2 linked regions of the Caenorhabditis elegans genome follow. The protein of the gene in region 2 purifies or fractionates together with the protein of the main gene of each other region. This does not show direct contact. Each region holds a gene or a part of one and is shown on either strand. Other genes may lie near its edges. The genes, in order: cnp-2 and T28H10.2.

Evidence for each region.
Region 1: the proteins of T28H10.2 (region 2) and cnp-2 fractionate together in Caenorhabditis elegans (co-fractionation; one large-scale study listed by BioGRID). This does not show direct contact.

What each region holds. Positions count from the first base shown.
Region 1 is NC_003280.10:12,752,539-12,767,054, forward strand, and holds the start of cnp-2 (Calcineurin-interacting protein 2), read left to right. Parts: upstream 1-8,258; 5' UTR 8,259-8,282; coding exon 8,283-8,310; intron 8,311-8,717; coding exon 8,718-8,901; intron 8,902-9,236; coding exon 9,237-9,339; intron 9,340-10,115; coding exon 10,116-10,188; intron 10,189-10,231; coding exon 10,232-10,653; intron 10,654-10,949; coding exon 10,950-11,029; intron 11,030-11,084; coding exon 11,085-11,354; intron 11,355-12,401; coding exon 12,402-12,605; intron 12,606-12,652; coding exon 12,653-12,715; intron 12,716-12,760; coding exon 12,761-12,847; intron 12,848-13,218; coding exon 13,219-13,263; intron 13,264-13,307; coding exon 13,308-13,352; intron 13,353-13,403; coding exon 13,404-13,478; intron 13,479-13,530; coding exon 13,531-13,575; intron 13,576-13,622; coding exon 13,623-13,673; intron 13,674-13,720; coding exon 13,721-13,786; intron 13,787-13,829; coding exon 13,830-13,991; intron 13,992-14,035; coding exon 14,036-14,089; intron 14,090-14,411; coding exon 14,412-14,448; intron 14,449-14,505; and 1 more. Other genes in the region: Y46G5A.39 (F-box domain-containing protein), read right to left, coding at 316-433, 483-1,142, 1,190-1,275; Y46G5A.7 (F-box domain-containing protein), read right to left, coding at 2,681-2,816, 2,866-3,486, 3,534-3,619; Y46G5A.8 (F-box domain-containing protein), read left to right, coding at 3,815-3,906, 4,608-5,097.
Region 2 is NC_003283.11:12,503,142-12,514,708, reverse strand, and holds T28H10.2 (ShKT domain-containing protein), read left to right. Parts: upstream 1-1,759; 5' UTR 1,760-2,709; coding exon 2,710-2,761; intron 2,762-2,990; coding exon 2,991-3,297; intron 3,298-3,621; coding exon 3,622-3,832; intron 3,833-3,880; coding exon 3,881-3,997; 3' UTR 3,998-4,064; downstream 4,065-11,567. Other genes in the region: lgmn-1 (legumain), read right to left, coding at 1-90, 292-494, 550-830, 878-1,086, 1,130-1,294, 1,340-1,617; nlp-46 (Neuropeptide-Like Protein), read left to right, coding at 8,459-8,572, 9,360-9,446; T28H10.1 (L-aminoadipate-semialdehyde dehydrogenase-phosphopantetheinyl transferase), read right to left, coding at 9,607-9,863, 9,908-10,032, 10,331-10,460, 10,512-10,687, 10,735-10,904; rbm-25 (RRM domain-containing protein), read right to left, coding at 11,193-11,282, 11,329-11,519.

The sequences.
Region 1 (14,516 bases), on a different chromosome or scaffold from region 2:
TTTAGCATCTGCAAGAAATATTTATTAACTTGTTTTGATAAGAAAAAACGGAAAAAATCGGTGAAAAATGAAAGAAAACACGCAGAAAACAAAGCAAGATAAATGGCCGCTGAAATTTGTCGGGGACTCGGCCATGGCCTAGAAACCTTTTTGCCTCGTCCCTCGTTCGAAAAAACTTTCAGTTTCAGTAATTTCCCCACATTCACCACACCACAACGAGCACCTTCTTTAAACTATTCCAAAAACAAATACAAGCTTTATTGGAGTACAAAGTAGATTATTTTATAAATTATCAGCAATCAAAATTATATTGTTTCAAGGTGGAACGGAGAGACGGAAGCTATCCGGAAGAATTGTTAATTCAGAAACCGTTCCTTTGTTGCATGTGAGATATTCGTAATTCTCAAATCTATGAAACCGATCATCCTGAGATCTGTAAAACCGTGTTGTATGAGAAACAAAGAAAAACAAATGAAACTGACTGTTGTCTAGAGTTGGTCCCTTCAAGAATGATGGATTTATCAAGGTGCGATTCCATTTGTGCTAAGAAATATTCTAGATGACTGTTTTCCTTCCATTTCTTGAGGAGTAGGTTTAAATGAAGACTGTTGATGTTGATCCTACCTAGTGTCACAAACGAAGAACACATCATCAAATCAATCAAATCATCATCAATATCACTTAATTCTATAGCATGCGGTCTTTGCACACAAACTCTCAAATTATTCGCTTTGCTCTCAAGTAAGCCCCGAAAAAGTTGCTTTGATATGCCTTCTCCGGTAAATTTCAAGTGATTAACTTTTATTGTTTTCCTTGCAATAAGTTCAACTATACTCTGAATATCCCCCTCTAAGTAATAAAGAACTGTTATATCAAGGTTTTTGTTTATTTTTAGGTGCTCTAGAAAGTCCAAAATTGTTTCCAATACTCGATTAACATCTCTTCCCTTATATAAACTAATGTCCTCACAATCAGTTAAATTTCTACAGAAGATAACTTCACATTCGGATTCAAGGTAGTATTGCCGTGCAGTAATGCTTAAACTAAGCCAGCGTTCGTCCTCACTCTGGCGCTTTTTCGCGCGCTCTATAGATTGTTTCAAAACAAATTTAATTTTTCGAGATGTTGCGCGAAGTATGCATCTGAAAGCATTGATTTAGAATAAATAAGAAATATGGTATTAGCTTACATATCACTTATTTTCAAATGATCCAATACGTCAGAGAGAACAACAGTTGGAAGTTTGAGTAGATGGAAGGGTGCAGGAGACGACATCTAGAGTGCTATGAAAGAGAAAATGACGGAGATTGGGGCAACTGTACACAGTGAGACAGTGAGCGCGCACAGTTCGGGGGTGCCCTAGTAGAGACTACATCTTGAAAACGTGGTGCCTCACGAAGTGCTGCAACATGTTTTGAAAAGTACCGTAGTAAAACACCATTTTTAAAATGATTCTCAAGTGTATTTATTTTTAAAAAACCGTCACAACATGGGAATGCCTATGATTGTGGGGCGAAATATTTTCTAGCGACTTTTACCGTAGTATTGAATAAAAATAACAACAATTTAGAATTTAATTTCAAGTGCGCGCGCGACAATTTATATTTTTCATTTGCATGACGCGCCATATCGAGATCAAACGGGAGACGCGAAACGTGGAACCGCGTGGAGTCAGAGTGTCTTATTTTGATTTGATCTTCAAAAAATGCGGGAGTTGACACACAGACATCTCATGAGACAGTCTCCTCGACGCACGTGGTGTCAGGCTGTCCCATTACGGTTTTTTTTTGCAAATTTTATCTCGAAAATTAGTGTTCTATACTTTATTATATTCATTCTATACATCAGCTGGCAAGTGAGAGGTGACCTATCTCCTCACTCTCTCCATCCGGCTTATTTAACCAATAAATACATGTGTTTTTACATTATACTTAACAACAATAAACAGATACGGTGGTACCCTTATCTTCCGTTTATAACACCTTCTCTAAACTATTTCAAAAACGAATACAAGCATTATTAGGGTACAAAGTAGATTATTTCATAAATTATCTGCAATAAAAGTGATGTTTCAAGGTGGGACGGAAAGGAAGAAGAAACTCGGAAGAGTTGTAAATTGAGAAACCTTTCCTTTCTTGCATGTTGTGAGAAATTTGTAATGCTCAAATCTGTAAAACCAAGTTGTATGAGGAACAAACAAAAACAAATGAAACTGACTGTTGTCTAGAGTTGGTCCCTTCAAGAATGACAGATTTTTCAAGGTGCGATTCCATTTGTGCTGAGAAATATTCCAGACAGCTATTTTCCTTCCATTTCTTGAGGAGTGCGTTTAAATGTTCGACCGTCGGAAAGTGAAATTCCAATTTTATGCCTCATAATTTTAATACACAAGTTCATTACTTTAACGATAACCATTTTCCTATCAGTTATCATCAGAACGTTAGTTTTGTCAATATGAATTTAAATGTGTACAATGTATAAACATACATTAATATAAAACCGGCAAAAACTCGGTTGCCATTGTGAAAAACCACTAAGGAATAGTATAAACTTTCCGTTTCAGTTATTTCCCCACATTCACCACACCACAACGAGCACCTTCTTTAAACTATTTTAAAAACAAATACAAGCTTTATTGGAGTACAAAGTAGATTATTTTATAAATGATCAGCAATCAAAATTAAGTTGTGATAAAATCACCGAAAACGAAGAGGAAGAAGCAATTCTCAAAAATTGTTAAGTCAGATACCTTTCCATTGTTGCATGTTGTGAGAAATTCGTAATTCTCATATCTATAAAGCCGAGTATCCTCAGATCTGTAAAACCGCGTTGTATGAGAAACAAAGAAAGACAAATAAAACTGACCGTTGTCTAGAGTTTGTCCCTTCAAGAATGACAGATTTTTCAAGAGGCGATTCCATTTGTCCCGCAACAAAGTATTCCAGACTGCTGTTTTCCTTCCATTTCTTGACGAGTACGTTTAAGTGATCACTGTCCAAATTAATCCCACTCAATGTCACACTCGTACAATGTACCATCAAATCAATATCATGCAATTGAATATTATGTGCCGTCCTCCTCACTGTCAAACGAGTCGCTTTACTTTTAAACAAACCCCGAAACAATTTATTCGAAATGTTTTTTCCTTCAAACTTCAAGTTATTAACAGATATTTTTTTTCTTACAATAAATGCAACTAATCTCTTAATATCCCCCTCGTTGTAAAGATCGCTTATATCAATGTTTATGCATACTCTTAGGTTCTCTAGAAAGTCCGAAATTGTTTCCAATACTCGATTAACATCACTACCCTTATATAAATTAATGTGCGCTGTCAACTTCGAAAAGATTATTTCAAAGTAATCTTGGCATGCATAAATATTCAATTCAAAAAAGCGTCGATCCTCACTCTGGCGCTTATTCGCGTGTCCAATAGATTGTTTGACAGCACATGTAGTTTTTCGAGATGTTGCGCGAAGTATGAATCTAAAAAAATTGATTTAGAATAAATAAGAAATATGGTATTAGCTTACATATCACTTATTTTCAAATAATCCAATACGTCAGAGAGAACAACAGTTGGAAGTTTGAGTAGATGGAAGGGTGCAGGAGACGACATCTAGAGTGCTATGAAAGAGAAAATGACGGAGATTGGGGCAACTGTACACAGTGAGACAGTGAGCGCGCACAGTTCGGGGGTGCCCTAGTAGAGGACAATGACGTCACTGAACCTCCACACTCAACGAATCGATAATTGTTATGCAGCGTTGCTCGTCGTTTCTCCCTCACTATTGTCTCTTGCACCATCTGAGAAATGTGGTTCACTTCCGGTTCGCCCTTCCCTCTACTCAAACTTCCACTGGTTGCTATTTCTGAAGTTCTGGATCACATGGATACCGGGGATATGTGAGTTTAAATAATTATTATTTTCTTTTAGATTTAATGTAACAGATTCCAAAGTTTTTTTTTCGTTGAAAGTATATTTTTGAGCGTTTTGGAAAAAATTATGGTCGTTTTTTTTCGTCTACAGTAAAATTTTAGCATTTTTCAGGCTCTCTGAATGCTTTTTTTTGTGCTTTAATTTTCTGGCAGTTGCCGAATCCAAAAAATTTCGGCAACCGGCAACTTTTGGTTGCCGCACAGCCCAGGTGGCAAGTATTGTCTTACCATATTTGAAAGCTCACTTTAAGCTTGAAATTTGCACTTCCGGTAAACGCACAAAACTGGCTTATTTCAACATGATAATCCAAACTTTTTGATCTAAAATTAATATAGAAGTGTAGAAAATAAGTTGTTCTATCTGAAAATAAGATTTATTATTGTTAAAAAGCTTGAAAAAGTCATCAAAGAGTACTCGAAAGTTGCCGCTTGCAGAAAAAGTCCCGTTTAAAGTTTTTTTTCGGAAAACTTTCAGGCACTATTTGATGGCTTTTTCAAACTTTTCAACTAAAATAAATGTTATTTTCAGATAGAACAACCTATTTTATACATTTCTATATTAATTTTAGATCAAAAAATTTGGATCATCATGTTGAAATAAGCCAATTTTGTGCACTTGCCGAAAAAAAAAAGACTAATAGAGCATACTCACAATGAAATATTTCCAGATGTGCACTCCGAGTAACATCTCAAAAAACGAAGAACCTCGTCCAGCAGTCTGCAAGACGCTTCACAGACCGTCCCAAGCATTTGTGCCAGCTTGATATAATTGCACGTCGAGACCATTTTATTCTCGGCTCTCGAATTGGATTTGATCGTTGTACGGAATTATATAAAGGAAGAGATATTGATAGACTATTGGGAACAACCAGTGACCTCCTGGATAATCTACATGTTGAGCACGTTAATCTGGATATAAGACGTCGAGATGAAGAAGTGGAGATTCACAAAATTGTCACAATGCTCCTGAGAAAAAAGGCCAATGTGTTCAAAACTCAGAGATATGAACAGTTTTGTGAATTTTTGTATGCATTATTCGGTTTTTATATTTTCTCATCTCTTTTCCTCTCTATCTTCGTCCGTTTCTCATTTCTTTATCCCATTTTTTTGATTTTGTTAATTGTAATTTTTTCTATTGTTTACTTGTGGAAATATTAGAATTACTTGATATCTAACATTGAATGAATATTTTTAATAGTGAATTCGTAGTCAGATATGTTAGTTTTTTTTTTGCATTCTGAATGTATAAATTTATGATCTAACTAATAAGGGGTGGACGGCATCTTAATGGGCAAATTGCAATTGCCGGTCTGCCAATTTGCCAAAAATTTTAATTTCAGGCAATTTGCTGATTTGCCGGAAATTACAATTTCAGGCAATTTACCGATTTGCCAGAAATGTTCATTTCCGGCAATTTGTCGATTTGCCGGAAATTTTCATTTCAGGCAATTTACCGATTTGCCAGAAATGTTCATTTCCGGCAATTTGTCGATTTGCCAGAAATTTTCATTTCAGGCAACTTGCCAATTTGCTGGAAATTTTCATTTCAGACAATTTACCGATTTGGCAGAAATGTTCATTTCCGGCAATTCGCCGATTTGCCAGAAATTTTCATTTCAGGCAACTTGCCAATTTGGCGGAAATTTTGATTTTTGGTAAATTGCCGATTTGCAAATTTCCAAAAAAAAAGTGCAAAACCACAATTTGCCAAAAATTTTCGACCATTGCAGTTTTTCCGGCAAATCCGATACTTTGACAATTTGCCGGTTTGCCGGAAGTTTTTCTTTGCCTGCCTTTTTTAGCAGACGTTCACAAAATCAGAATTCAAAAAAAAAAACTGAATCATGCAATTAATCATGATGAAAAGTAACCAAAAACAACACAAAAAGCCGAAATCGAATCAAAAAGTGAATGCATCATTGTCCAAACATATAAAACATTCACTTTGAAGTATATTTTACGATTTTCCGTTTTCGGAACGTCACTTTTCTTGCCAATAGGCGGGGTTGCCAAGGTAGTCTCACATTTTTGCAATTTTCTTAAAGATGCTTTTTGGAAGACATTTTATTCAAAAAAAAAATAGAAGTTAAAGATGTTTTCTATGTATAGCTCTTTTCTTTTTTGGTTACTGTTTAGGCAATTTACCGGTTTGCCGTTTTGCCGGAAATTTTTATTATTGGCAAATTGCCGATTTGCCGGAAATTTTGATATTTGACAAATTGCCGATTTGACGGAAATTTTGATATTTGGCAAATTGCCGATTTGCCGAAAATTTTGATATTTTGCAAATTGCCGATTTGCCGGAAGTTTTGATTTTCGGCGAATTGCCGATTAGCTGATTTGCCGGTTATTTTGATTTTTTGGCAAATTTCCGGTTTGCCTAGTTGCCGGAAAATTTGGTTTTTGGCAATTTGCCGATTTGCCTATTTGCCGGAAATTTTGATTTTTGGCAATTTGCCGGTTTGCCTATTTGCCGGAACTTCTCATTTCCGTCGATTTGCCGGTCTGCCGGAAGTTTTCAATTCTCACAATATGCCAAAAATTTTCGGCAAATTCGGTAAACTGGCAATGTGCCGATTTGTCGTTTTGCCGGACATTTTCAATTCAGGCAATTTGCCGGTTCGCCGCTTTGCCGGATATTTCATTTTTCAGAATGCTTTTAGACCTGAATTTGGTAATCAATACACTGAAAAATTTTATTTTTTTTTGATTTTTTTTTAAATTTAGGTTACTGTAGCCTCATTTCTGTGTGAAAACCGACACATTCCCATAAATTCATGGAAAACCCAGTTTTCAGGGATAAGCAGTGCTTCTGAATCTAAATTTCACAGTCAAAGCTGTTACTCTTCGAGGCAAAAAATCTTAGTGTCGGCACTTCATTTGAAAAATCTCAAGTACCTGTCACTCTCACATGTTTGACCCATTTTTTCGCCTACAGGAAAAACCTTCAAAGTAGCCTTATCCCTCGTTTTCCCTCTATTTTCTAATAATTTTTTTTTGTCCGTTTACACATGTTCTGGCGGTGGGCTGTCGAAAAAACAAATAAAACAGTCATTGAAACTATCTTTTTTTTCTGTGTAAATAGTAGTTTTTTGGGATTAAACTCACTTTTTTTAAAAAGATTTCCTGTATTATTTTGTTGTAAAAATTCACACGGGGTTCTGGCCTACCTCATTGCATTTTTCGCGCTCCATTGACAATCGCCCGCCGGACAACGCATGGGAAAGTCATGTACTCCACACGGACAACTTCATTTAGTTTTACAACTAAAACCGAGCCGCGACGCGACACGCAACGCGCCGTAAATCTACCCCAGATATGGCCGAGCTAAAATGGCCTAGTTCGGCAAACTCTTCCATTTCAGTTTATGAGGGACGTCGGAAAAAAACTTGAAAAACTACTTTTTTTTGAAATTTTTTTCAAATTCAGAACTATTTATGTTGACTAAAAGCTCTATATATTCCATAACAAAAAAAAAATGCAATTTCCCAAAAAAAAATTCGAAAAAAAAAACATTTATGTTTACTAAAAATCTCAGCGCTCACAGGAGCCCCACATATTTTTTTTGGATTTTTTTTCAATTCAAAATGAAATTTTTGCACACATATATGCTGCACACGGTGACTACTAGTATACACATATACATATATAAAGAAGAACCAACAGATTTTCGGAATTAGCGGCACCCGGGGCGGAGAGGATGATCCTACTCTCGGCGGGCTCGCCGAGCCCACTGGATGTTTCTCTCTCTCTTTGAGCACTTTTGGAATGTATGCATGTTCGTTTGAAATTACTTTTTATGTAGTTTTATGTTATAAGTTTTATTAGAAAATGTATGAAAATTCATTGAAATTGGGTTTGTTTTTATTTTTAAAAAATTTGCAAACAAATGTTTTTTAAATTTTTTTTCTGGAATTTCTAAGATCTCTACGAATCTGTTTTCTAAAGATATTTTAACATCTAAATTATTTATTTATTTATTTTTCCACAATAGTTTTTAAAATAGATTTTCTATATTTAAAATCTTTTTTGAAATTTCGAAAAAAATTTCCAATAATTAATTTTTTTAAAAAATTTAGAAAAAAACCGATTTTCAGAAGTCTTCTCCTTTTTAAAAAAATATATATCATGTACTTTTTTCTCAATTTTTTTTTGGCATGTGAATATATATGAAATTCGAAACTTGATGCCCTCCTGTCTTCCACTATTTCCTCCCACTTTCTTGACATTTTCCCCCCAATTTTCTTCTTATGCGGTCTTTTTTATGCAAAAAATTTGTACGTTTATTTATTTATTTTTTTTTTTTTATTTTTTTTCAGGAGCTTATAGTTTTTTTGAAAAAGATGAACCGTGGATATGATAGTTATAACCGTGAGTTTTTTTAAAAATTAAAAATTTCAAAATTTCAAAATTTGACTTAAAACTAATTGTAAGTACTTTCAGGTTTCTCCAAAATTTGTCAAAAAACACTGTAAAATATGCTGAAAAAAATTTTAAAAAATCGAAATTGTTGAAAATAGTTTTTATATACAAATTGGACAAAAAATTCAAAACAGAAAAAAATTGGAAACGACTGAAATTTATTTTTTCAAAAGTACAGAAAATTCTATTAAACATTTTATTGTAAAAGGCTAAAAGTAAGATCTTTTTCGCAATTTAAAATTATATGCATATTTTTTAAAAATCTGAAACTTCGATTTTTTACAAAATTTTAGAAAAATATTCCCATATTTATTCCTAATACAGTCCAAATATTTTTTTATGCCCCTAATTTTCAGGATCCCGATCTACATCATCTAGACCCCTGGATCGAGAGCCCTACCATGCTGTATCAGAGCTGTACACCAAGGAAATAACCCATACTCCAATTGGTCCAGCTTCAGACCTTCCTCCAGAAATTTTGGATATTCTTAAAGAAAATCCCCGAGCAACACCACAGTATACACCTCCGTTGATTAGGCAGTAGGTTTTTTAAAAATGTTTCCAAAAATGTGAGAACTTTGACAGCTTATATCTCAATTCTCCTAATTTGTATAAAAAATTGACAACTGATAAAATGTTTATCAACTATTTTTCTATATTTTTGTAGTTTACCATTACTCATTATCTTCAAAAAGAACTGAGATACGAGCTGTCAAAGTTGAGAAACAAAGAAACGAAAATCGGGGCAAAAAAATTTCCGAATTCATAGAACATTTGGAATTTTACCAAAACTTTGACTCAAATTTTTGAAAAATCTGAAAATTTTTGGAGTGTTGGAATACTATTAAAATCCAAAATTTGAAACAAATTTCCAGCCGCGAAAACACATGGACCCCAGAAAACTACCCAATTGTTCGTGTCCCTTCTGCACAATTCACAGATGTTATGACTGAACTGTACGACTATCACGAAGTAGAGGTAAGATTTATAAACTACAAACTACAAACTATAAACTACAAACTATAAACTACAACTACAAACTACAAACTACAAACTATAAACTACAAACTACCAACTACAAACAGCAAACTACAAACTACAATCTACAAAACTCTACCACACGGTCAAATTTTTTAAAGCTTTTTTTTTGTTAGTAAAATAAAGGACAGTCATTAGATGGCTGAAAAAAATTGGGCAAAAATAAATATTTGCCTAAATTTATTGAAAACGGGTAATTCTTGCGGATATATGCTTAATTCAGAAAATCTAGGTTTATCTTATCAAAACTATTGAAAAGTGGCAAAATTGGGCAATTTTTGGCAAAAATTCACAATTTTGAAACTCCTCTAACATGGTTAATTTTGTAGTTAGAGGACTCAAAATTGATCTCAGAACCCTAAAAATTGTCCTTTTTCAGTTATCAGTAGTTTTGTTTAAATTCGTTTTTTAAAAAATTTTTTGCCCAAAAAAGGACAGTCAAACGAACAAAAAGGACAGGCTGAAAAAAATTGGGCAAAAATAAAATATTGCCTAATTGTGTTGAAAACGGGAAATTCATATATGCCGAATTCAGAAAATCTAGGTTTAACCCATCAAAAACTTTTAAAAAGTGGCAAAACTGAACAATTTATGGTAAAAAATCACAACTCTCAAAGTTTCGTTGCTGACTGTAGTGTAGATTAAACTATACAAACTACAAACTACAAACAACAAACTACAAACTACAAGTAAGACAGAAATATGTTATATTACAGAAATACACACACCGATCGGTCACCCCAGACTACGAGCCACTACGGAAAGAGCCGGAGCTCAAGGAGCAAAAATGTATGTTTATTCAGTTTTTTCCTCTTTAACTGCTAAATTTCAGTGCCAACCTACCAGGTGATCCCTCCGACACCCGAAAAGAACACGCCACGTCACCAGCACCATTCGGGTATCACACTGTCCCCATCAGATTCTTCAAGGACACTCGGAGCCCTGCCAAAGAAGCCTCCAATGTACGAAGAGTATTTGCAAATGCAGAAGAAGGACGAAAATCGGAATATTCCTAGACAAGTCTCCTCGGCGGATTCCCAAAGGACGATTCGGAATAACAACGAGCTCAGTCACTTGAGACACATCGATTCCTCGTCGTCTTCGGAAGCTTCCGAGCCAGCGAAGGATCTTGATGATCGTGAACGTTATGTGTACACACATGATGTCTACGTGGATTCAACTACGGGGCGCCCGTTCACACCGGGGAGAGAGGATGTTCGGGAGAAGAAGAATTGCGATAAGTTGAAGATTAATGTGAGTCCTAATTTTGAGGCACCACGGTTTCAAGATCTGGTGGGATTTCGGATCTATTATTTCCGGATCTACGATTTCCGGATCTATGATTTCCGGATCTACAATTTCCGGATCTATGATTTCCGGATCTACGATTTCCGGATCTACGATTTCCGGATCTATGATTTCCGAGTCTACGATTTCCGGATCTACGGTGGTAGATCCGGAAAACGTAGATCCGGAATCCCACCATATCTTGAAACCGTGGTGCCTCTTAATTTTTTAAAAATGGTTTTCAAAAAAGAACAAACTTCCAGGTCTACTTCAAGCCTCCACACCCTCCAGTAGAAATTACATACAAGTTGGACGAAATTGAAATTGAGAAGAACGAAAATATGTGAGTCACCTGTCCTTGTTGACTAAAAACTTCAAAAAAAAACCTCCAATTTCAGTGTAGTAACGAAGCTCCGCCCATCCCGCTCCGACACTATATTATCGCGTAGTGTTTCCACAAGTCCGTCGTCAGTCACTGATAATATTCCAAAAACTTCAACTTCAAGAATTCCCTCAAGCGAAAACCCGAAAACGATGGAGCACACCACAACCAGCCGCCGCTTCCCAACTCAAACCTCTATTCTCAGAAAAGAGCACGAAATTGTGCAAGTGCCACTTCATCGGAGCCAATCGCTCAGGCAATCTAGAATTTCGGAGCATAGTAAACGGTTTGTTTGGTTTCGGAAAATTTTAAACATTTTTGAGATAGAATAAGATTTTGGCATTGCCGAAATTACAGTAATCCATTAGTTTTTCGTTTTTCTACAGTACTCTTACAGTACAATAGAGCCACAGTAGTCATACAACATCCCTACAGTACCCCTACAGTAATTATATAGTAACCACATTGTGCCCCGTTATTATCAAGACAGTAATCCTACAGTATCACTACAGTACTCTAAAACCACAGTAATCCTCTAGCACTTCAACAGTACCCCTTACAGTATCCCTACAGTAATCCTACAGTACTCCTACCGTCCCCCTACCGTACCCCTAAAGTAATTATACAGTAACCCTAATGTACCCCTTTATTATCCCGACAGTAATCCATTAGTACCCCTACAGTACTCTAAAACCACAGTAATCATACATCACTCCTACAGTACCCCTAAAGTTATTGTACAGTAACCCTACCATACCCCTTTATTATTCCGACAGTAATCCTACGGTACCCCTACAGTGACCCTACAGTGTCACTACAGTACTCTAAAACCATAGTAGACACTCAGCACCTCTACAGTATCCTACAGTACCTTTACAGTTATTTTACAGTAACCCTACCATGCCCCTTTATTATTTCGACAGTAATCCTACAGTACCCCTACAGTGGCCCTACAGTATCACTATATTACTCTAAAACCACAGTGATCCTAAAGCATCCCCACAGTACTCCTACAGTACCCCTACAGTGACCCTACCATAACCCTTTATTATCCCGACAGTACCCCTAGAGTATCACTGCAGTACTCGAAAGCCACAGTAATCCTACAATATCACTACAGTAATCTGAAGCCACAGTTATCCTACAGTACCCCTTACAGTACCCCTACTTCATTAGTACCCCATACAGTACCCCTACAGTACCCCTACAGTACCCCTACAGTATCCCTACAGTTCCCTTACAGTACCCCTACAGTCTCACTACAGTACTATACAGCCACAGTAATCCTACAGTACCCATTACAGCACCACTTCCAAAATATATTCAGTTCCAGATCCCTCGGCAAAACCACCTCTACAGTGAGCACAGAGCGTCCAATTCCGATCCACGTAGTGGAGGAGACGTCATCAATCGATATGGATGTCGTTTTTCCAAAAATGCCACATCATCAAACCGTGACAAACGTCAGAGTTCCTTCGAGCAGAGGATCAGCAATATCCAGAGCTCACAGTGAGCATCGCAGGTCGATTGACAGGAGGTAAAAAGTGATATGTAGCACATTTTTAATCATAATTTTTTTTGCAGCGAACCACGTCACCACCATCGTCATCATGTTCATTCCGAGACCCCTGAACTTCCATATACTAGGTGACAAAATATCTGGGCACACATTTGTATAGAAAGACTTTTCAGAGGGATCTCCAAGACTCCGAGTGTTCGAGAATACAATGTGAAGCGGGAAGGTCAGAGATCGCCAAGCAGGTCTCATAGATCTGAAAGGTACGGTCGATCCGTTCTTAGCTTCGGTTTCTGCTTAGGCGTAGGCCTCGGTTTAGGCTTAGGCTTAGGATAAGGCTCAGGCTTAGTCTCAGGCTTAGTCTTAGGCTTTGGCATAGGCTTGGGCTTGGGCTTAGGATGAGGCTTAGGTTTTGGTTTTGGCTTAGGCTTAGGCTTAGGCTTCGGTTTAAGCTTAGATTTAGGCTCTGGCTCAGGCTTAACATAAACTTTCGATTAGTATACTTTTTGTTGATGCCATCCACCAAGTATTTACGGGGTTCCCTAGTTAGAGTTAGGCTCACGCTTAGGCACAGGCTTAGGATTAGGCCTAGGCGAGCTACTAGTTCATACAATTTCTCGGTTTTTTTTTGCAGAAGCCCATCAGAGGTCCGTATCCCGGTGACAACTACACATACTCGGTAGGCTTTGAGAAATTTCTAAAAATTAAAAAAAAAATTTTCAGCCCGATTGCAAAACGCCAAAGCCCGGAGGAGCTGGATTATGGAAGGTGATTGAAACTGCCGAGCTCAGTTGCTGATAAAATTATCGAAAATTCCAGATTCGCGGATAAAAGTCAGCAGAACCGATTTCCGGGGGATCATCAGGCTAGGGAGGAGGACTTACCGTATACCAGGTAATTTTTTTTTAACTCGGGGAGCTTTCGGCAAACCTCGATAATTTTTCAGGGGAATTTCCAAGACTCCTAGCAATCAGGATTCCAGGTCGGAGAGGTAGGGTAGATTTCCAAAAATTTAAAAAAAAAACCAAATTTTTCTAGAACTCCGTGCTCGGATATTCACATTCCTTACAATAACCCTGAAAAAGAGAGGTACAGTAGCAAAACCTACCGTAACCCTACAGTAATCCAAATTTCAGAGCCTATCAGCAATCCGAGCGGTCGTCTTATAGATCCCACAAATCGGTGACCCCATCAGAAAAGTCGTAAGTTTTTTTTTATACAGTAGTCCTATAGTAGTAAATCCAGGTTACCCCGCAATTCGGAGACCCCCGAGCTACATTACACCCGAGGAATCTCAAAAACGCCAAGCGACAGGGTGGAGAAGTCAAGGTACCTATCACGTGGTGTCAGTACCCCACATACCCCATCTGAAGTGCACATTCCATACAATAATCCAGAGAAAGAACGGTAAATTATACCTGAAAATTGAAGTTTTATCGATTTTTTTGCAGAGCCTACCAACAATCGCACCGCCCGTCTTCGCCAAAGAGACGCCCGTCTGGAAGGTGAGAAAATCGATATTTTTCGATGAATTAATCGATAATTTCAAAGAAAAATCGATATTTTCTAAAATTTTTCTGATTCCGGCCACGGGGTTCTGGCCTTCCTCATTGAATTTTTCGCGCTCTATTGACAATCATTTAGTTTTAAAACTAAAATCGAGCCGCGACGCAACACGCAACGCGCCGTAAATCTACCCCAGATATGCCCCAGCCAAATTGGCCTAGTTCGGAAAACTCTTCCATTTCAATTTATGAGGGAAGCTAGAAATCCCATTAATTCCGGAGAAAAATTCTTCCGAAAAATCGATAATTTTCCCATTTTCAGAACAAATTCCCCCAACAAGTCCAGCAGCAGCTCCAAGGTACAGTAACCACCCCCCCCTCAAACTATCGATTTTCCAACAAAATTTGTTTTCCAGGCGAGACCATC
Region 2 (11,567 bases):
ATACAGTACTTTTTGAAAAGATGAACAGCAATGTGATGGCAACGGAGATCAAGAACTGGACGAGTTTGTGTTAGTACTCGGCTGATCAGACTGAAAAAATATAATATTCTGAGAACCCAGCATGAAATGAATACATGATATCATCATATGAACGCATAAGTTCAAAAATTGAAGTAGTTTTTACTTGTGAATTACCATTTTTTCCAGTTTATCAAGGATTTTTTCTCAATTTTTAGAGCCCATCAGAACCCAAGAACATCCCCATGTCAGCTCGATTTTTCTTCAACTTACTCTTCAGACTCTCCATCAAAGAACTTCTGAACAATCATATGTACATTTCTCTTGATTGCTCTTCGTGTCTCCTTGATTCTATTGATTTTGTACTCTAACTTGTTCGACGATAACAAATCATTCGACTTTCTGTGTTGCGAAATCAAGTGATTGAGCTCAATATCTCTTGCTGGCCAGTTGACAGATTTTGAAGCAGACAATCCCTGAAACAAAATGACCTTTTCATGACAAAATATCAATTTTCACATAGATACTTACAAAATCTTCGACATACTCTCTATCTTCCTTATCTCCTTGGAACAAGGCTACTGCCTCTTTCGCAATATCCTTATCACCAAACTGCATCACATGGGAAAGGTTTGTCTCTTTTTTAACTAGCTCGTATTGGAATTCAAGAGTTTCTGTCTTCAAATCTTCTCCGTCACTATCAGTCATCCAGTTAACACTAAAAAGATCTCCAAGGCACGGAAGATTCATGTCGTTCTCACAGAATGTTCCCCATGAACTTTCATGGCTATTTGCAGCAGAAATTGCATAAACTATAATTCGATAATACTATAATATTGGAGAATTCTCTGAAACTTACTATCCATATCCGATCGGAGTACCTCTTCAAACATGCTTCCAGATTCACAGGCTTCAAGATAAAAAGTCAACTGTGAGTACTTCTTATTCTTGTGCATCCAAACAAGAACATCATTCAGTTGCTTTACAGTCAAAATGCCATCTGGGAATGAAATCATTCCAACCGCACCGTGATCAGTGAAGTAAACAAAAACGCGATCATTGTCGTTTCTGAAAATAAAAAACAAGTTGACACAATTGCTAGAAACCTCACGTTTCAAGAACTCTTCCGTTTCCACCATCAATTCCGCTGGCATTTCCTTTAAGAACATTCAAAAAGTTTTCCGGTGTCACTGAAGCACCTTTGTAATCAATTTTCAGACCTTTGTAGAGGTCTTTTCCATGTGGACGATTAAACAGCTTCCCTTTGTATGGATTTCTAAGCAAAATCCAATTAATCAAAATCTCCATAGAGCACACTTACAATGGATTATTCGCCACATCATCATACATCATTGTAATAATATTTTCCTCTGGAATTCCATGATTTCTAAGTGTGTGATACGCATGTGCCACATCAGCTTGATGTCTGTAATTATACCATCCATTTGATCCAGCTACCAACACAACGAAAGCTTCTCCTTCATCTTGATACTTGTGTTTCCTTTGCCGTCCTGCTGCCAGACCTTTTCTAGGATTATATCGAGCTTCTGTCACCAAGAACAGAACAATAATGCAAATTAAAAGAGCAAGTGGTCTCATTATAAAATAGGAAAAAAGTAAAGTGAGCCGGTGAAAGGGGGACAATAAGACTGACTGGTCTGCTGGACAACACTGTGTTATCAGATTACCACTTATATAATTGATAAGGAAGACATAAGGTTGTGTTCAAATAGAACGAGGTATCGATGATGGTGAAAGGTGTCAGCTGATCAACAAACATGACACTTTGATTTTGAATTACTAGGAAAAAGAAACGATAATTGTGTGTGTGGAGTAGCTACGAGTTTTGAGTTAATGAAGGACTATAAGTATTATAATTTCAATGAAAAAATTATTATAATTTTGCATTGTTTTAAAATAAAAATTCAGTCCCGGGGAATGTCATTTTTAAAACAAATGTCTTCTAGATTTTTTGAGGTAGAAAGTTAATAAGAGCTTTGGTTTTCCAGAACAGTATAATAAGAGGGAAATTAAGAACAAAATTAAAATTTCGGAACAAAGTGTATACGGTAATAGTTTTTTTTGAGCTTTCCTATCGTTATTGAAATTCTTTGTTTGTGTATTCTTTGATTCCTAAATTCAAAAAAAAACGTTGTCTTAATTTTTTTTTTCAATTGTAATGCTTTCCGGAAATTAAGACAAAAGTAAAAAAAAAACAAGAAAAAACGGAAACCATACAGTTACTGTATATAGAGGGTTTTTCTGATATTTTGCTAAATTGGAGAGTGAATTTTAGAAATGCAAAAGAGGATCACTCTATCTCTCCCATAGCCCAATATCAAGTCTGTTCAGTTCAAAATAACCCAGACAGTTTTTATTCGGTTTTGGTTCATTGAATATTTTGTCTTCTCTCTACTTCTCCGTCTTTTACTAATGCCGATATTCGTCGATTTTCATTATCACACATGAAAAGGAAGGAAGAACACAGAAAATTAAAGAATACGATGATGGGTAATCAATTGATGCCAAAGGCACGTTGGTGGATGACCTTCTACGATTTTATTTCGTTTACTGTCTTTCTTCTTAATGATAAAAATAGAAAGAGGAAGTCTCGAATAGTTTGATAATCACACTTAACACTTTTGATTGATTTAATTTGCAGAGCGATTGGTTGTATACATATATTCTCTGATGAGGTTTTTGTTGGTTTCAGGAGTATTTCTGGCTTATGTCGCACCTAGTTGTGAGTTTTACCATCCAATTAAAGAATTTTTTAGCATTCTAAAAATTATTGATAGGTGTTTAATTTATCAGTTAAATAAGGATTCAGTTTCAAATTTGAAATTGCTCTCAAAGAAACTGCACAAAAGTTGACGAAAAAATTGTTTTAACTTAAAAAATTAATTTGTACGTATTTGAAAATATTTATTTTTAACTAAAAAAAAAGTGTTCAATTAATATAGCTTTTTCAGTGCAACAGTGTTTCGATAGCGACGGAGCATGTGCATCGTGGGTTGCTTCGGATCGAGGTTCATGTCAAAGAAAAGAGTACATCAAGAAAAACTGTCGAAAAAGTTGCGGAAATTGTCCTCGCTATGAGTTAAAATTCGATACTCGTCGCTTGAATCCACAACTTCAACCTATTCACCAATTGGTGGGACGATGGAAGGGTGAACATACCGGAAAAGTTACATTTCCAACAATTCCAACTTTCAAATACACAGAGGAAGTCGAAATTTCAATTCCTGAAGGAAGCAATATTCGATCACTCAATTACACGTGAGTTAAGATTTGACTACTGTTAAAATGTTTTGAAATTTTTTAAAGTTTTCAGAAATTAGGTCTGGGAAAAATTACTCAGCTAAATTATTTAGTTTTGATATTCTATAATTGGTTAAAAAGTGTTGAATTCAAACATGAAATCACTCTTTCACTCAAAAAATTCTGATAGAAAGTTAGACTTGTAGTAACTATTGTTAATAGGAAAAACCGGTTTGTAAATGAAATATAAAAATCTATCGTATTAATTTTATAATTTAGTTTGTAAGACTGCAATACTAATAGAGAGCACACAATAATTAACAATATTTTTGTTTGCTTCAGTGCCGCCGCTTGGTCTAGTGATAAAGAAGATCTTCACCGCGAATCGGGTTACATCATCATTAAACCAAACACTCGTGAAGTTATTTTGACAACAGTCATGTCCAATGGTTTCATTACTGTTGAGGAAGGTTCAATGGTTGGAAACAACATTAAATTTATGCTCAAAGATATCGGAAGAATCAGCTTTGTAAGAGATGAACATCTCCATAATGTAAGTTAACGGATAGTTTAAGCACGAAGGTCAAAATATTTTTTGCAGCTAATTCGCGAATGGACCCTGGATAATGGTTACCTTCGAGCCCGTCTCAGTATTCAAACGTTATCTCATAGAATGCAGGAACACACTTCAATATTATACACAAAAACTTCAGTATAAATAAAAATAGAAAACGATTGTTTTAAAACTTTTCAAAAAGTGCAAAATAAAAAGAATGCTTTGTAATTGTTTTAACCAAGAAGAGAATCAAAAATATGAATTATCAAAAAAACTTCTACCTTGTAGCGTATAGTGCATAGCGTATAGCGTATAGCGTATAGCGTATAGCGTATAGTGCATAGCGTATAGTGCATAGCGCATAGCGCATAGCGCATAGCGTATAGCGTATAGCGTATAGTGCATAGCGTATAGCGCATAGCGCATAGTGCATAGCGCATACCTAGACTACCTAGACTACCTAGACTACCTAGACTACCTAGACTACCTAGACTACCTAGACTACCTAGACTACCTAGACTACTACCTAGACTACCTAGACTACCTAGACTACCCAGACTACCTAGACTACCTAGACTACCTAGACTACTACCTAGACTACCTAGACTACCCAGACTACCTAGACTACCTAGACTACCTAGACTACCTAGACTACCTAGAGTACCTAGACTACCTAGACTACCTAGACTACCCAGACTACCTAGACTACCTAGACTACCTAGACTACCTAGACTACCTAGACTACCTAGGCTACCTTACCTAGACTACCTAGACTACCTAGACTACCTAGACTACCTAGACTACCTAGACTACCTAGACTACCTAGACTACCTAGACTACCTAGACTACCTAGACTACCTAGACTTTCTAGACTACCTAGACTACCTAGACTAGCCTCTATTAACAATACTCTTAAAATCCTTGTTTTATTAGATCAGAGATACAGAAAATCAATCATAGACTCCGCCCTTACCTTGTATTTTTTGCGATTTTTCATTGATTATTTTACTTCTCAAAACTTTATGTAATTTTCTTCAATAGATCGAATGGCAGTGTTAGTTTTATCAAGAAATATGGGTGCCCTTATAGGTTCAAATGAAATTGTTATATTTGGAAATAATTTTCAACTTCAACTCCGTTTTCCCATCCATCAAAATTGAATATCATCTTTTCCAACCCATAACTCTAGATGCTAAAAATGTCAGCAGGCCCAAAAATAAAGCTCATCGTTTTGCACGTCTCCACTCCAACTTTTACAGCGACTCATGGGGGCTTCCGCTTAAAAAAAGAGTTGAGCTATCAATTCAACTCATCATTTATTCGTGTTTCTCCCTTTGCTTTGTGGTCCATGATGTCATGATTAAAGAGATCTGGAAAAAAAGTTGGAAAGAGAAAAAAAGAAAATTTAATGAAAAATTAGTTTGACCGTAAACATCTCGTTCAGATTCGGAGACGAGTCATTTAGATCAAACTGCAAAAAGAAAAAATGGAAAGAGGAAGAAAATATTCAAGTGAATTCATAAAAAGATAGAGAAAAAGTAAACATGAAATCAGAAACCTCCGTGACAAATTCAAAAATAAGATCGAAGGTGTCTTGGTTTTTGAAAGCTTTTCTAGATTCTAATAACAAACTATCGATTTCAATTTGATCTTAATTTACCAGTAGACTCCAATTAACATCTGACAGCTATGATTATGCTATATTATGACAAAGATTTAACCTGCGACACTCAACTGCGAACCCTCTGAAATTTCAATCAGGAACTTGTCAGTGCATCATTTTACTGATTTTGAGGCCTGTAGAAATACTCAAAAACTCTTTTTTTTGCAGAATTGTGCTAGTTTTAAGAGTGTTCAGGAAAGTTGAATGCAAATTTTTCAATTTTTGTCAAAGAAATATAAGTTTTCAATCAGTTTCCAGAATGTTCGTTTATATATATGTTTCGTTTATTTATATAAAACGCTAGCTTTCCTAATCGGTTTCTGTATTTTTTATAAATTTGGAAAAATTCCCATTAATTATTTTTTGTTCCCAGTTTTTTGAATGGCTCTCGTGGCCAGAAATTATCTGATCTCAAATTGGTAAGTATCCAGATAAAATACTTCTTCAATTTCACAAGATGATCGGATGCAGTTGGCCTACCCACTATGTGAGCGCAATTTCTGTAAAGCATCGTGCCATAAATCACCAAATATTTCCATCATAACTTTAAAATATTTCAAAAATGTACGTAAAAACGTTCCATTTGTGATCACCAAAATAGAAGCCCGATTTAATTTCTTTTTCAATATTCTAACAAGTCACCAATCATCGGAACAAAGTAATAGATGTCAATGACGCGTGGGTTCTATATAAAAACAACCAATTTCAATGATCTGATCAAATAAGTCAAAATTATTTTTATGATTTCTGTTTTAGTGAAATTTGTATTTAAAAATAAACGAAGTAATTGACAATGATTTCTGTCAGCTAAATTATAAAAGCTGAGGAAAAATCGATCATTTCATATTTTTCATAGTTTCTCTGAATTATTAAGTAGAGATAATTTTTTTTACAAAGTTTCCATTTCTACAGCATATTATTATAATTTTAAATCAAGAACTACAGTAAGCCGTTTTTAAAACTGTCTGAACTTGATTTTGAACTCAAATTTTCATAGTAAAAATGAGTTCACTCGTTTCTCCGATCTTCTGCAAAGTTGTTGAACTTATTTTTGAAAAATAAACAATTATAAAAATAGACAATAAAATAGTGTAGCAGAGCACGTCACCAGCAGACGTTTCAATGTTCTCCGTGAAACTTTCAAATTTGTCAGATAACCACCACATATTCAAATGACGTACTTTCTTCTTGTCTGTCAGACTAATGTGACTCACTTGTTTATTCGTGTGTTTAGCCACATGCACGAGTTCCTGAAGCCTAATCAAAAATTATGAATTATTGATGTTGGAATGTATTGGCGAATAGGTGATTATGGCCTGTCTGATGTGTTGATTTGGTTTAAGAACGGCGAGCTGAATTAATTTTGTTATGAGCTGGTTTGAGTTGTCTGCTCACTGAAGATAGCAACTTTGTAAATAATTTCTTCATTTTTAAGCAAGGATGCATTTCTAGTTCAACTTAGTGAAGTTAACATACTTATTTAAACTAGTTATCCGTACTGTTTTCTTTAAAACCCGTTCAGATATTCAAAAAAAACCTGAAGCAGAAGGAGACTTCTTGAAGATCAATTTATGTTCTTTTGAAATTTTACAAATAAAAAATAATTTAAACAACTTAACAAACTTGTTTCTCAACTTTGTAACTCATAATATTCTTGCCCAAGTCTAACAAAAAAGAGTGTTCAAACACGGGTTGTCTTCTCAGAAGTTTGTCTAATTTCAAAACAAGCTACAGCACAAGCTCGGTAGAACAATAATATAAATGATTACAAATCACCATTTATTACCCTTGGTGCCCCCAATTCTTATTCTGGTTTTGCCGGAGGCCTACCAACTTTTCAATCATTGGTTTTGATAAAAATTGGGCAAGCCGTGGACGAATGGATAAAACATTTCTTCAATTTTCTAAATTTATATTCCGGAAAAGAAAATGGCAAATGTTTCCACACGTTCCCTAAATATTCTATTGTGAGATCAGAATGTTCTCGTACTCTTTTTCTAATATATTTTAATAAGCATTCAAAATTATGCATGATGGAAGTTTTAGTGGACATTTTGAAGAAGTGCGAATTTTTTAATGTGCCGGTTTTTTGCTATATAATACTTTTTGAAATTTGTACCTGAAAACGCACAAATTTACTTGAATGGATCCACCGTAAAAATCTTAAGGAAGAACTTAATGGTATTGTATGTGCTCGATATACCCTGTGGTCGGGAAATTATAAATTTTAATTTGATTTTTTTTTCAAAAAGGGGTTCAGCATCTTTATTATTTTCAAAATAAAAAATTAACGGAAAGTTAAAAAATGCAACCATTAGTTTTTTACGGCTTCACTCAAACTTACAAAATACCAGAACTGAGTATTATTTCCCCAATCTCTAGAAAAACTGTTGTTTTTTTCTAGAAAAACTTTATTAAATAGTATCCACGTACATACTTGTAACGGTAGCTAGTGGGCTTTTTTTTATTAGAATGTACATAAATGACTAGTTTTTTAACGTCGTTGTGTTCAATAGACACATATACATGTAAACATTCACTTCAAATGTATGCAATTTAATTCTAATTTGCAATAATTTTTATGACATCATCTCAATAATTTTGATATGTCTCATGGCATTCTTATGTCTCCCACTCTTAAAAACTATCATCAGTTCATTTTTCTAGTCCATTCAATTCATCACTCAACCCTCTCAAGTCAGCAGGAGAAAAAATGTCATTTTCACTCTATTTATACACCAACAACTTTTCCCCCATATTTTTATTGGATTCGGAATACTCCGCTCTCTGACTGAAAAAGGGCGTGGCCATGAATCCCAAATATTCTTCATATTCAATTGCCGACTGGACCCAACTCATTTACACATTTTATATGATGTTTCCCATGTTTTTTATCTTTTTGCTTCGCATAACTAGACTAGATATACAAGATTAATAATGCTGCACTTGTAGGGCGAAAAATGTTGTCAATTCGTACATTTGTTCTGGTACTGTTGGTTCTCGTTGGGCTCGCCGCGGCTCTGCCGTATTTCCGATTGAACTACGATTACGATCCGGTTGATTTGGATAATGATGTGAGTTTTGAAAAGTTTTGAAGAAACCTACTATTACCGTAACCTTGGGTCAAGACTGCGGTATGATTTTAGCCCCAAATTACCAATTTTCATCCAACTAGCTATTGATTTCAATTAACGTTAATCTCTCTGTTTAAATTCTTTAAAAAATAATAACTGGCAGACCAATCAGTGATTTACTCTGCCAACCAATTAGACAGAGTGTGCAGAATACGAGGACGCTGATTGGTTCGAAAGTGGGTGTGGCTTCTTCTTTTAGAGGGAATTCAGACAACATAATTATTTACAGTACTTTTTAATATTAGACTAGTTCTGGTTTGGGCATTTAAATGCCAAATTCACATTCATACTACCTGAAGATCCGTCAATGAAAGATAAGGAAGGTATCTCGGTATTTGGTAACAAGTTAAGCCCAAAAAATTTAAGATGTGTTCCTAGATTCAGAAAAGGTCGAGTTGGCCTATAACTGATTTTGTTAATAATGATAACTTGCTGGAAATCATGTAGAGATTCGATTCACGACAATCGAAATAATCTAATCTTCAAAAAAAGATTTCTATCAGAGTAATAAATCTTCCTGAAAACTTGAAAAATAATATTTACCCTTACTAAAATTGCGTGACCTCAATGGTGGTTTAAACCAATAAGTTACTCTAGGTTAAGAACTTTTTGTTTTTGTAAATACCTCCTCACCAGAAACTATAAATTTTACTATCTTCTACATTTATTCTTGAGATACAAAAAGCTTCCTCGTTTAGGCTAGTTTCAAAATGAATTCTTATTTCAGGAGAAAAACGCAGCTCGTCAATTTCTTCCGTACATGAAACGAAACATCGCAATCGGGCGTGGTGATGGTCTTCGACCCGGAAAATAAAATACAAAAATTGCACATTCTTCTTTTGATATTATGTTTTTATCACATTTTCTACTAAAATCTCAATTAGAAATTGCTCTTGCTCATTTCATTTAACAACTTGATTCCGTTTCCTGGTGTGCTGTCTTCATCTGTTTGTTTTTCTTTTTTTTTGACGATCTCAAAATGGTTTATTTGATTTTCCCATAAATACATCAAGTTCTTCATCTACATCAGCTGTAATATTTATAAAATCTGCGTCTTGGAGAATTTCTTCGAGAGACATCATTTGAAATGGTATAGCACAGGAAGTAGTAGACGGAGATACTTCTGAAGCAACAGCGACACAATGATTCTCTCCAATAAATGACTCTTCAAAAATCCATTGTGGTTGTGGAATCAAACGATGATAATATTGGGTTGAAACTGTTGAGTGACCTGAAAAGGATACATAAAACGATAGATTCTTTCGAAAAGTTAACCTGACGCGTGATCATAACTGGAATCTACTTGGAAAGTATGATTGTGCAGTCCATCTGGAAGTCCAACTCCCGTAGCTTTTAGAATTGATTCTTTCAGACACCAAATTCTGTAGAATGCGTGCCATCTAGAAATTAGGATGATTTATTAAATTTTACTGATGATTTCAATATTGTCAGTTTTCAATTTTCTGAAATTCGTATTTAAAGGCGCACGAATTTATCCGGATGGGTCTCGCCACTGATATGTTCGGTGCCCGCTTTGACGTTATTCAGGATATTGTTATAACGTCATTATGAATTTTGTTGAGTTTTTTGTCGTGAAAATCGGAAAAGCTCTGCCATAAACTGAGATCCATCTGATTGAATCCGTGAACTTTTATATACACAATACAGAAAATTAAGAATTGTAGTTTGAAACGATACCTTTTAAGTTCACATTTATCTCCCCCTTTAACCATTTCTATTTCATTTTCACTGAAATGTCGCTTCAACGTATTCATTTGTTCACTAGCAGTCTCACGCCGAGCTTCATTAACTCTCATCACATCGACACCTTAAATAATTTTGCCTTTATAAGATCAAAATTCAAAACATTAGTACAAACCTATTCTAGTATCTCCGGTAGCTAATACAACTAGATCACCATGATGCGATACGTTGTATTCGAAGTTTTGACGAGAATAGTCTGATTTATTTTGAATAAGAGATGGTTTTCCATTTTCATTCCGACTAAACTCTAGATCTGACCACTGACGAGATATTGATATAGTGGCAGCTTTTCTGAATGTCTTCCAATTATTCAAACTCGAATAACATTTTGTTAGAACCTTGGAATTAATCTTCCTATCAGACATGCCAATGCATCTTCTTTATATCGAAACCGTCTCTGCTGCTCCACATCACTTTCCGATGCACACAAAATAGCCCGTCTAAACATATTTTGGAATGTAGATGAAGTTATCGTTTCTTCCAGCGATATTGCCCATCTTAAGCTCATTGCGCTGGAATTTATGATGAAAATTGAGACGGATGAGCTAAATTAGAAATCATCAAGAGGTAGATGCCACATTTCATAAAAATATCAGTTTGAAGTATAGCACAGAAAACTATATTTAATTTAATATTATAATAGCGATTATTAAGTCAGCTGCTCACTGGAATGAATTCCAGAGAGGGAGAGAGAAATAGACAGTAAAACGAGTCTTTGAAGTAAAGAACAACTCAATACAGAGGCGGGGATGAGTGGTAAAAAGATTGCATAATGTATTTCCAATATTGAAAGTAGTTATGTAATTCCGAGACGACGGGCTTGTCCCTCATAAATTAAAAGTCGCCACATTTTGATCACAAATTGCTCAGCATCCTCGTCAATGATCTGAATTCCATATATTAGATTTTTACTTAATAATTGATCATCTCACGACGGCGACGTCTTTGAGTATTTCTTGGGGTGTCGCTTGTTTCTCAATTTGATCACAGATGAAATCACAGAACGATTTGTCTTCTTCGCCAAGGAATTGAGTGACTTTTTTAGCCACCCACGGACGAATTCGATCATTCATCCATTTCCCATCTAGCTGATCCCATTCGATTCTATGAACAAAAAGTTCATCTGAAAAAAATCAAGTTTTAAATGTTTTTTTTTTCAATAAACATATCT